2 linked regions of the Cricetulus griseus genome follow. The protein of the gene in region 2 purifies or fractionates together with the protein of the main gene of each other region. This does not show direct contact. Links are inferred from orthologs where the notes say so. Each region holds a gene or a part of one and is shown on either strand. Other genes may lie near its edges.

Region 1 (4,330 bases), on a different chromosome or scaffold from region 2:
GCTGAGCCACTTGAGGGCTTACTGGCCCAAATGGAGAACTGCAAGGAGAGTCACCTGGATCCACTCTGACATCCCAGAACCCAGCTAAGTTCTTGCCTAACTTGATCCTTCCCCGAGGGAGAAAAGGGGAGTGAACAGCAGAAAACTCCCTAGATGTTCCCTGTCCTTTGCTCCTCAGCCAGTCCCTCTCCCAACCCCCAAGGATGGCATGCTGTGCCAAGTGCAATGTGAAAAGCAACAAAAACTATTTGGTGCACCAAGCCCACTCCTCTCAGACTCTGCCACTCACCTCTCTATCCTTTTCTGCCCCCTAAAAATTTATTTGGTTGGTCTGGACTCACTTGTGGCCTTTGATTAAATTCCTAAGGGGCCTGAAGAAGACACTTCTGCCGAGGGTTAGAGGCACGGGAGCAATCGAAGACTCCGCTCCTCAGTTCTGGCAGTTGTGGGGAGCACTTCTAGAGGATAGAGCCAAGTCAGATAAGAGCCGGAAGGGCAGCAGAAGCTGCAACAAGTCTAGTTGTTTCCAGCCCATCACATCAGAGTCCTGTGAGATGGGAACACAAAGGGGAGTCAGAGGAAGCAATGTCTCCCACACTTCCCAGGCAGGGCAGAGGTGGGCGGGCGCCAACCCCAGGTGAGAAGTGGGTGAAGAAGAGCCCTGTTTGAGATATGGCTGATCCCTGTTACTAGCTTTTCCTCTGGGGACAGAAAGCTCTACAAGAGGAAACTGTAGAGCCCAGGGGAACTTTCCTTCCCTGCATGAGGCAGAGGCAAGCTGCCTGCCAACCCCCTTCCTCAAGGAATGGCCTTGCCCGGGAATGCCCACCACACACACTCTTCTTATTTTTCTAGTCAACCTCTGTTTACTCCCTGGCCTGCCTTCCTCCTCCCTCCCTTCTCAACCTTTACTTCTGATTTCTATATCATGGAATTTGGGATTGACGTTATACAACAGTGCCGCCAACACAAGTCTTGCAGGAAAAAAAAATACAAAGAAATTTAACAAAAAAAAAGTATATTAATAAAAAAGTTCCAAAAAGGGGGGGACTGTTATCTCCTTTGGAGTGCGATGGTTTCAAATTCAAGCTGAGTGTCACCTGATGGGTGGGTAATAAAGGAGGCCCCTTGGGGAGCCACAGTTCTGTAACAACTCGAGGCTCCTTCCCAAAGTTCCAAAGACTGAGGCCAGAGGTCAGAAATCTCAAGGCTGCTCAGTCTTGCAGCTCTAGAGGGGCGGGGTCCCGTAGTAGAGGCGGGGAAGAGGGAAGGACAGAGACCAACCACCAAGCCCAGCCGCGTCCTATACCAGGAAGTGCTGGGTGGGGGTAGAGAAGCAGAGTTGACACCGAAGCCAGGTGAGGTTGGGACCGGGAAACTGATACCTCCTGAGATGGGAAGGGGAGCAGGGAATCTCGCAAAAGAAATAGTTCAGGGATCCAGAAGGAAAACTAGAGGTAAGAAACTTGTCGGGGAAGGAAAGCAAGAAAGGGACTGGGCTTTAGCGCAGGCTCAGTAGAAAAAGACACGGGGTGGGGCGAGGACGCATGCGTAGTGGGGATGTCCTTGCGAGGTAGGATGGTCGCTCTCGGTTCCAGGTGGGAGGTAAATGTGGGCACAGTTTTAGGATGGTGGTGTGACTCAAGCCCTTGAAGATCTTGGCACAGAGCAATTCTAGCTATCTGGCTGGAATGGGTTAAAGCCTTTCCACTCTCGGGCTCTGCCCCCAGGATGGTGGTGCCTTCGTTGAAACTTCAGGACCTAATCGAAGAGATACGCGGGGCCAAGACTCAGGCCCAGGAACGGGAAGTGATTCAGAAGGAGTGTGCTCAAATTCGGGCCTCCTTCCGCGATGGGGACCCTCTGCAGAGGCATCGCCAGCTGGCCAAATTGCTCTACGTCCACATGTTGGGCTACCCCGCCCACTTTGGACAGGTACTGACCCGGGATAGCTACAAAACTTGAGGAAGATGATCAATGGGCCCCTTTGTGTATTTGTATCCCGTTTGCTTCTTTCTCTAGTTTTTGTTTTGTTTTGAGACAGGTTGTCTATGTAGCCTAGGCTAGCTTAGAACTGGCGAAAATCCCTCCCTCGGTTTCAGTGTTGGGATTTTCAGGCATACCACATTCCGCCCAGCTAAATCCTTTAGTTTCTGAGCCTTTTATCCATTACTCTACTAGCCAGCCCCGTTCTTAGCACCTTCCCAGCCTCCACTCCTACACAGGTCCCTGAAGCCTGCCTGCCATCATCTGGATCTCCAATTAAGCCTCTGGTTAAAGAGAGGGTGATGAAATTTGATTTCCTCACAAGTTAATCTGGCCTTAAGGAGGAGGATGCCGCAAAATTAGTGCTGTGGTTTCACACTACTCTTCCTGGCCTGCCTCCTTCCCTGTAGATGGAGTGCCTGAAACTGATCGCCTCCCCCAGATTCACAGACAAGAGGGTGGGCTACCTTGGGGCCATGCTTCTATTGGATGAGAGGCACGATGCCCATCTGCTCATTACCAACAGCATCAAGAAGTGAGAGGGCTCTGGGGTGCTTCAAATCAGGGCGTTGGGAGAGTGGGAACCGCAAAATCCCAGAGGGCTGCCTGCTATCAGTACTGGGAAGAACTGGTTTCCCCTGGCTTGACTGACCGTCCTTCCAAACCCTACAGTGACCTGAGCCAAGGGATTCAGCCAGTTCAGGGTCTGGCCCTGTGTACTCTCAGCACCATGGGCTCTGCTGAGATGTGCCGAGACCTAGCCACCGAGGTGGAGAAGCTGCTCCTGCAGCCTAGCCCCTATGTACGAAAGAAGGTGAGATGTAGACCTCTAGACATCTGCCTCTTCAGAAGGTGTTCCCAATCTGCCACATAGGAGAGGTGCGGAGTCTGACTTACTTGGTGGCCCTATCTGAGGCCCTTGACTTCTGCAGGCTGTTTTGACCGCTGTGCATATGATCCGGAAGGACCCCGAGCTCTCCAGCGTCTTCCTCCCACCTTGTGCCAAACTGCTCCATGAGCGCCATCATGGTAAGGGCACAGGGCTCTCCACTGTCCACTTCAGGTCTGGCTATGGATAGATGAAATGAAAAGCAAATCAGGAAGCCCTGCTCATCGGACAAGGGTGGTGCACACATACAAACACACGTGTAGTAGACTGTCCCATGGCCTGGCCCGCCATTCACTGCCCCACCCTGACCCCAGGCATCCTGCTGGGCACCACCACGCTGATCACGGAGCTCTGTGAAAGAAATCCTGCAGCCCTCAGGCACTTTCGCAAGGTGGGCTAGTGAAGGGGCAGGCCGTGGGGCAGGCAAAGGCGGGAGGTGGGTGAAGAATCGGGGCTGATGGTTGAGAAGAGAGGAGGTACCCTCAGACAAGGCTGCCTGTGCCCTTCTTCCAGGTGGTACCCCAGCTGGTACAGATCCTCCGGACTCTAGTGACAACAGGATACTCAACAGAGCATAGCATCTGTGGAGTCAGTGATCCCTTCTTACAGGTAAGCTGAGATGTACTTGTATCCCTGGAACAGCAAAGGCTTCACAGGAAGACCATGGCTGGTAGTCACTTTCCATTTTGGCACAGTCCAACTGGCAAGCTCATGATTGCTCTAGTCATCCTAGGACTGGGGATAGGGAATCAAAGGTAGCTACCAAAAAGTCAGAAAATCCAGTTTGGTAACCATATAAAAAGCCTGTTCCAAAGCCGGGTGTGGTGACACATGCCTTTAGTCCTAGCACTTGGGAGGCAGACAGAGGCAGGCGGATTTATGCAAGTTCAAGACCAGCCTGGTCTACAAAGCAAGTTCTAGGATATCCAGGGCTACACAGAGAAACCGTGTCTCGAAAAACAAATCAAAAAAGGCCTGTTCCAACCCCCCCTGACTCTACACAACTCTGATCTCCTCCCAGGGTCCAGGGATCTGTTGGGTGGGGGCGTGCTGGGAGTCAGAACCCTCGGTGTTGCCCACAGTGTTAGGTGTTTTCACTTCAGGCCCACGACATTATCCTATAAACCTTCTAATCCAATCTCAGGTCCAGATACTTCGTCTGCTTCGAATCCTGGGACGGAACCATGAAGAAAGCAGTGAGGCCATGAATGACTTGCTGGCCCAGGTAAGAGGCACCCCTTCGGCATGTGGTTCCTTAGGGTCCATCAGCCCTGGACTTTCCTCACATGACCATTTATTATTCAGAAGTCTCCTAAACCAATGAATTCCGTGAAGGAAGGATATAGTCTGTCATTGTTCTATCACCCTAGTGTACAGGCAGTTCTTACATAGAGTAGGGATCAGGGAACTTTGTTAGGGGCAGAAGGACAGAGAAGAGAGAACATAGTAGTCACC
Region 2 (4,099 bases):
GAATGTCCAGTTGATGCTTTACTTGTCGTCCTCTTCGAATGCTGCTGTCTTCAGAACTTATATGGGCGGCACTTTGCTATCAATGAATTATATAGCGTGTTGTGGGTAATAGCCAATTTTAACTTCATTAAAGTTAAATGGCTACGCCATAAATTTCCGCATGTTTTCTTGAAGCCTTTTGGGGATATTACGAAGTGAATTTCCTGTCGAAATTTAGAGCCAGTTTGATTTTATATTAGTTACGTAAATTCCTCCTCCCGGTGTTCAAATTTAAGGTGGTGTGGTGAATATTAAGATCTGCCTTGGGGTCTTACTTGCACTGGCTGGTGCTGTTAAAGGAACTTAAAAGGGTTAAAAGAGAACACCTAACCGAATTTACCTTCAAATTAGCTTTACAATAGAGCTCCTTTTTACCAGTTGAATTATAAAATACCTGCCTTAGAAAATGTAGCCTGACCAACAGACATGCAAATGCTAAGTAAATACATACAAATTACCGTCTAGTGTGTACAAAACACACTAGAATCCAGCATATATTCAAATATATTTTTATTTTAAAATAAGTATTTTGTGAAATGTCTCAAATTTTGTTTTTAAATTAAGTATTCTCTGCAGTGTCTCAATATAAATAACTTTTGGTTAAGCCTTTCAGACTTGTATTATTCTCTTTCACATTTTACATTAATTCAGTTCTCCAGTGCTTATTTGTGTTAGATCTTACAAAAGTGAAATGCAAACATAAAAATCAGGCTTTTGTTAAGAAAATGTGTTGTTTGTGAGATCTTTTTGATTAATATTCTGTTTTGCTTACATATGTTAGCATAAATTGAGGGGAGTGCTTTAAGTGATAATCAGTCTGGCTGCAAGAAATTCAGCCTGGAACTAGAATAGTCTCGGGGTAGTACCTAAATCAACTACCTGATGTCTACAGTTGCCTTTTGATGCATATAGTGTGGAATGTGTAGCACAAGGAGAAAATTGTTTCTTAAATAATCAGAGTTCTTCAAAAATTTCACTCCAAATTCCCACCTGTTCTTCTTGCCATACACTCTCTTCTACACTTACCTACATATAGTAAGAAGATCTTGCCAAAAGAATTTCCTGCTATTATAGCCTGAATAGATGTGTTGATGGCTTACTAATCATTTGGCTGGGTATTTTCTGTATCCCCAAAGCAGCTCTGAAAAACCATGTGATCTTAACTCTTAATTCCTAGGTAATTGTATGTAATCTTGATTTTATTTATCTTAACAGATGCAGTTTATGTTGCTTTTTAGTCGTCAGGGAAAGCTTCGGCTGCAGAAGTGGTATGTCCCACTCTCAGACAAAGAGAAGAAGAAGATCACAAGAGAACTTGTTCAAACGGTTTTAGCTCGGAAACCTAAGATGTGTAGCTTCCTTGAGTGGAGAGATCTGAAGATTGTTTATAAGAGGTATCATTTTTGTATTTATCAGAAAGGTGAAATATGATCAAACATTAGGTTTATCTCTAATGAGAAAACTGCAGACTTTTTATGTCAATCAACAAGGATTAACAAATATTTCAATGAAATAAGTTAGTTTAAAGGAAAACTTTCCTTTTAAAAATAATGGCTGTTTTGATTGCTTGCCTAAAGCTAAAATGCTAGCAGCAGGGTAATCATTATTAAATTAATTATATAATTACAGCCAAACAATTATTTGTGCTTGGTCAACATTTTAGAAAAATTCAATGAATTCATTTCATTACAGGGGTAGTAGGGACACTATTTTAAATTTTTAAGTAATTTGATAAATAATGGGCATGCATAGATAATAGTGTGATAATCCTTCCAAAAAATCTATAAAGATTTATCAAGTAGCTGATATTTGGCATTCCTTTTATCTGACTTCTATATTAATCTTACTTATAAAGACCCTGAGCACATAGACCATTTCACTATACAGATGTTTAAGTACTTGTGTCTATACAAGATCTCTTTGCTAGTAGTATTTTTAATTTCAAATAGACTTGTTGCTATGGCGGAGTTCTGCTTAGATATGATAATTTTACCAAGGATAGATTTTTTTTAAAAGTGATGTTGCAAAATAACTTATAGATTAGCTTTTTACACAGTTTTTTTCTTTAATGCTATACATCTTTATTTTATATTATAGACTGTTTTTAGAGGGAACATTTCTTGTTTCTTTCCCATTTTTGGTCTTTTTTGAATAATTTACTGAATTTAAGATAAAAGCATTTCTTCATATAAAACACTCTTGTATGGGGAGTGTACAGAAAACTAACAGTAGGAAATGCAATGAAGGTGGAAAGAAATCATGTTTTCTTCTATTTTCTGATACAACATTCCAAGTATGGATGGGCTTTGTGGTGGAGGAGGTGACAGAGTAAGAAATGAGATTTATAGGACATAAAACCCTCTTAGGTGCTTTAGACTTATCTTTATTTCATAATGAATTTCATCAGTCTGGGTGGTTTTTTAAATTCAGTGTTTGGCTTGGTACTGGTTGAGAAAGATCATAGGAAAATCATAGCATTTGAAAGCTGGGAAATGCCTTAGAACAATCTACACGTACACACTCTCACACACAAAATATATATCTTTTTGACAGGGATAGAGTCTTGACTAAAACAAGTAGAAATACAGTTGCTTTTGTGGAATGAAAAATAAGAAGCTGTGCCCTGGCTCAATTGGCCTCTGCTCTCTGCACTAGAGAGAGGTCTTCAATTTGAAAAACAGTTACTGTTCAAATTTCAATTTATAAAAGATGAGAATTTGTGAATAGTGGTTTGGCCCAAGGTCATATACTAGTGATGGGCATGGGGCTACAACTTGTCTTAAGTGTAGAGGCAATGGTTTTAAACAGATGTGGGAAGAAATAAAGATTAGATTTGCATTTTTGAAAAGATTGCTGTGAAACCTTGGCTGGGGGAGTGAAAGGGGCTGAGACTGGCACCTGCAGGATCAGTGAGGGACTGCATGATAATTGGGTCCTGAGCTGAGAGGCTGGAAAGGAGACCTGTTACCTAGGTAAGTCTCAGTAGACTTGGCCACCCCAAGAAGCAGAGATAGCAACCAAGGAAAGAGGGAGTACAGTGGAGGCACCTCCATTTCTAGAGTTTGGCTTATGGGATGAAAGGTAAGCTAGAGAATTCAGTTAATTTGGTGACAAGTTGATATGGCCATATTTGTTCACTTGGCTCTCTGATGGGATGTGGTGGGCATAGGCATGGAACTTGAAGGTGACAATTAAACTTAAAGTATTAGATCACTAGCATTCAGGTGCAGATGGAAGGGCTAAAGAGGAGGCTTGCAGATCAAAATGAGAAAGAAGCAAAGGAGTGATGTTAGGTAAGTAAAGCCCAGGAGCAGATAAATTTGAGAGTAAAACACTAATGCCAGCTGTTCATGAAATTCAGTAAAAGTGAACAGCTCTTAGAATCTTAAGAGTAAGCACTTCATGCATTGCCCTGTTGCCAGAACATTGTCAGTGGAGTAGAGACAGAATTCGTGATATAACGAGGTGAAGATAGAGAAGTTGAAACCGCATGTGTAGAGTATTTGGGAGAGCTTTGCCAAGGACAGAAGAGGTGGTAACTGCTGGCTAGATCTGTATTCTGGAATCCTGGATAGGGTTTATAAAAGATGTGAGAAGTTTAAGCTTATTTCTAGATAGTGAAAGGAGTCCCCCGTGTGGAGGAGGAAAATCCTAGCAAGAGAACAAGCCCATGAATGGGGCCATTCAGAGGAAGAAAAGGAAACAGCAGGTTGGAGCTCGTAGACTTGTCGCTCAGCCTATTCTGGTGATCTCCCTACCTTTTTCAGAAATGATAAAAGAGAACTCCAACCTGATCTGATATTTAGATCAAAGTTTTTTTTCAAATGAAATTTGGAATTAACAAAAAGAAAAATAGCTTTATTGAGATGTTTCATATATAAAATACAGAGTGTATAATGTTTTTCTATAGGCTCCCTCGCATTTCATACTGAAAACTTCATTTACTTCCCACTTAACCATGTATTTTGTTATTATCAGGTGATGTGTTTTCCCTGCTCAGGCTGGAAGATAAGAACTTTTAAGCCAGAGAATGTCTACTGAGCTCCTAATAAATTCTGCT

Evidence for each region.
Region 1: the proteins of Ap1s2 (region 2) and Ap1g2 purify together in Homo sapiens (affinity purification with mass spectrometry; 3 studies listed by BioGRID and IntAct, counting the BioPlex papers as one, with this or other methods). This does not show direct contact. The link is inferred for Cricetulus griseus from reciprocal best matches to the Homo sapiens genes AP1S2 and AP1G2.

Annotation. Positions count from the first base shown.
Region 1 is NW_023276807.1:210,295,842-210,300,171, reverse strand, and holds the start of Ap1g2 (AP-1 complex subunit gamma-like 2), read left to right. Parts: upstream 1-1,524; 5' UTR 1,525-1,547; coding exon 1,548-1,573; intron 1,574-1,730; coding exon 1,731-1,935; intron 1,936-2,396; coding exon 2,397-2,521; intron 2,522-2,658; coding exon 2,659-2,800; intron 2,801-2,918; coding exon 2,919-3,015; intron 3,016-3,189; coding exon 3,190-3,266; intron 3,267-3,388; coding exon 3,389-3,484; intron 3,485-4,019; coding exon 4,020-4,100; intron 4,101-4,330.
Region 2 is NC_048604.1:98,735,398-98,739,496, forward strand, and holds the start of Ap1s2 (AP-1 complex subunit sigma-2), read left to right. Parts: upstream 1-1,239; 5' UTR 1,240-1,254; coding exon 1,255-1,433; intron 1,434-4,099. UniProt on the Homo sapiens protein: Subunit of clathrin-associated adaptor protein complex 1 that plays a role in protein sorting in the late-Golgi/trans-Golgi network (TGN) and/or endosomes.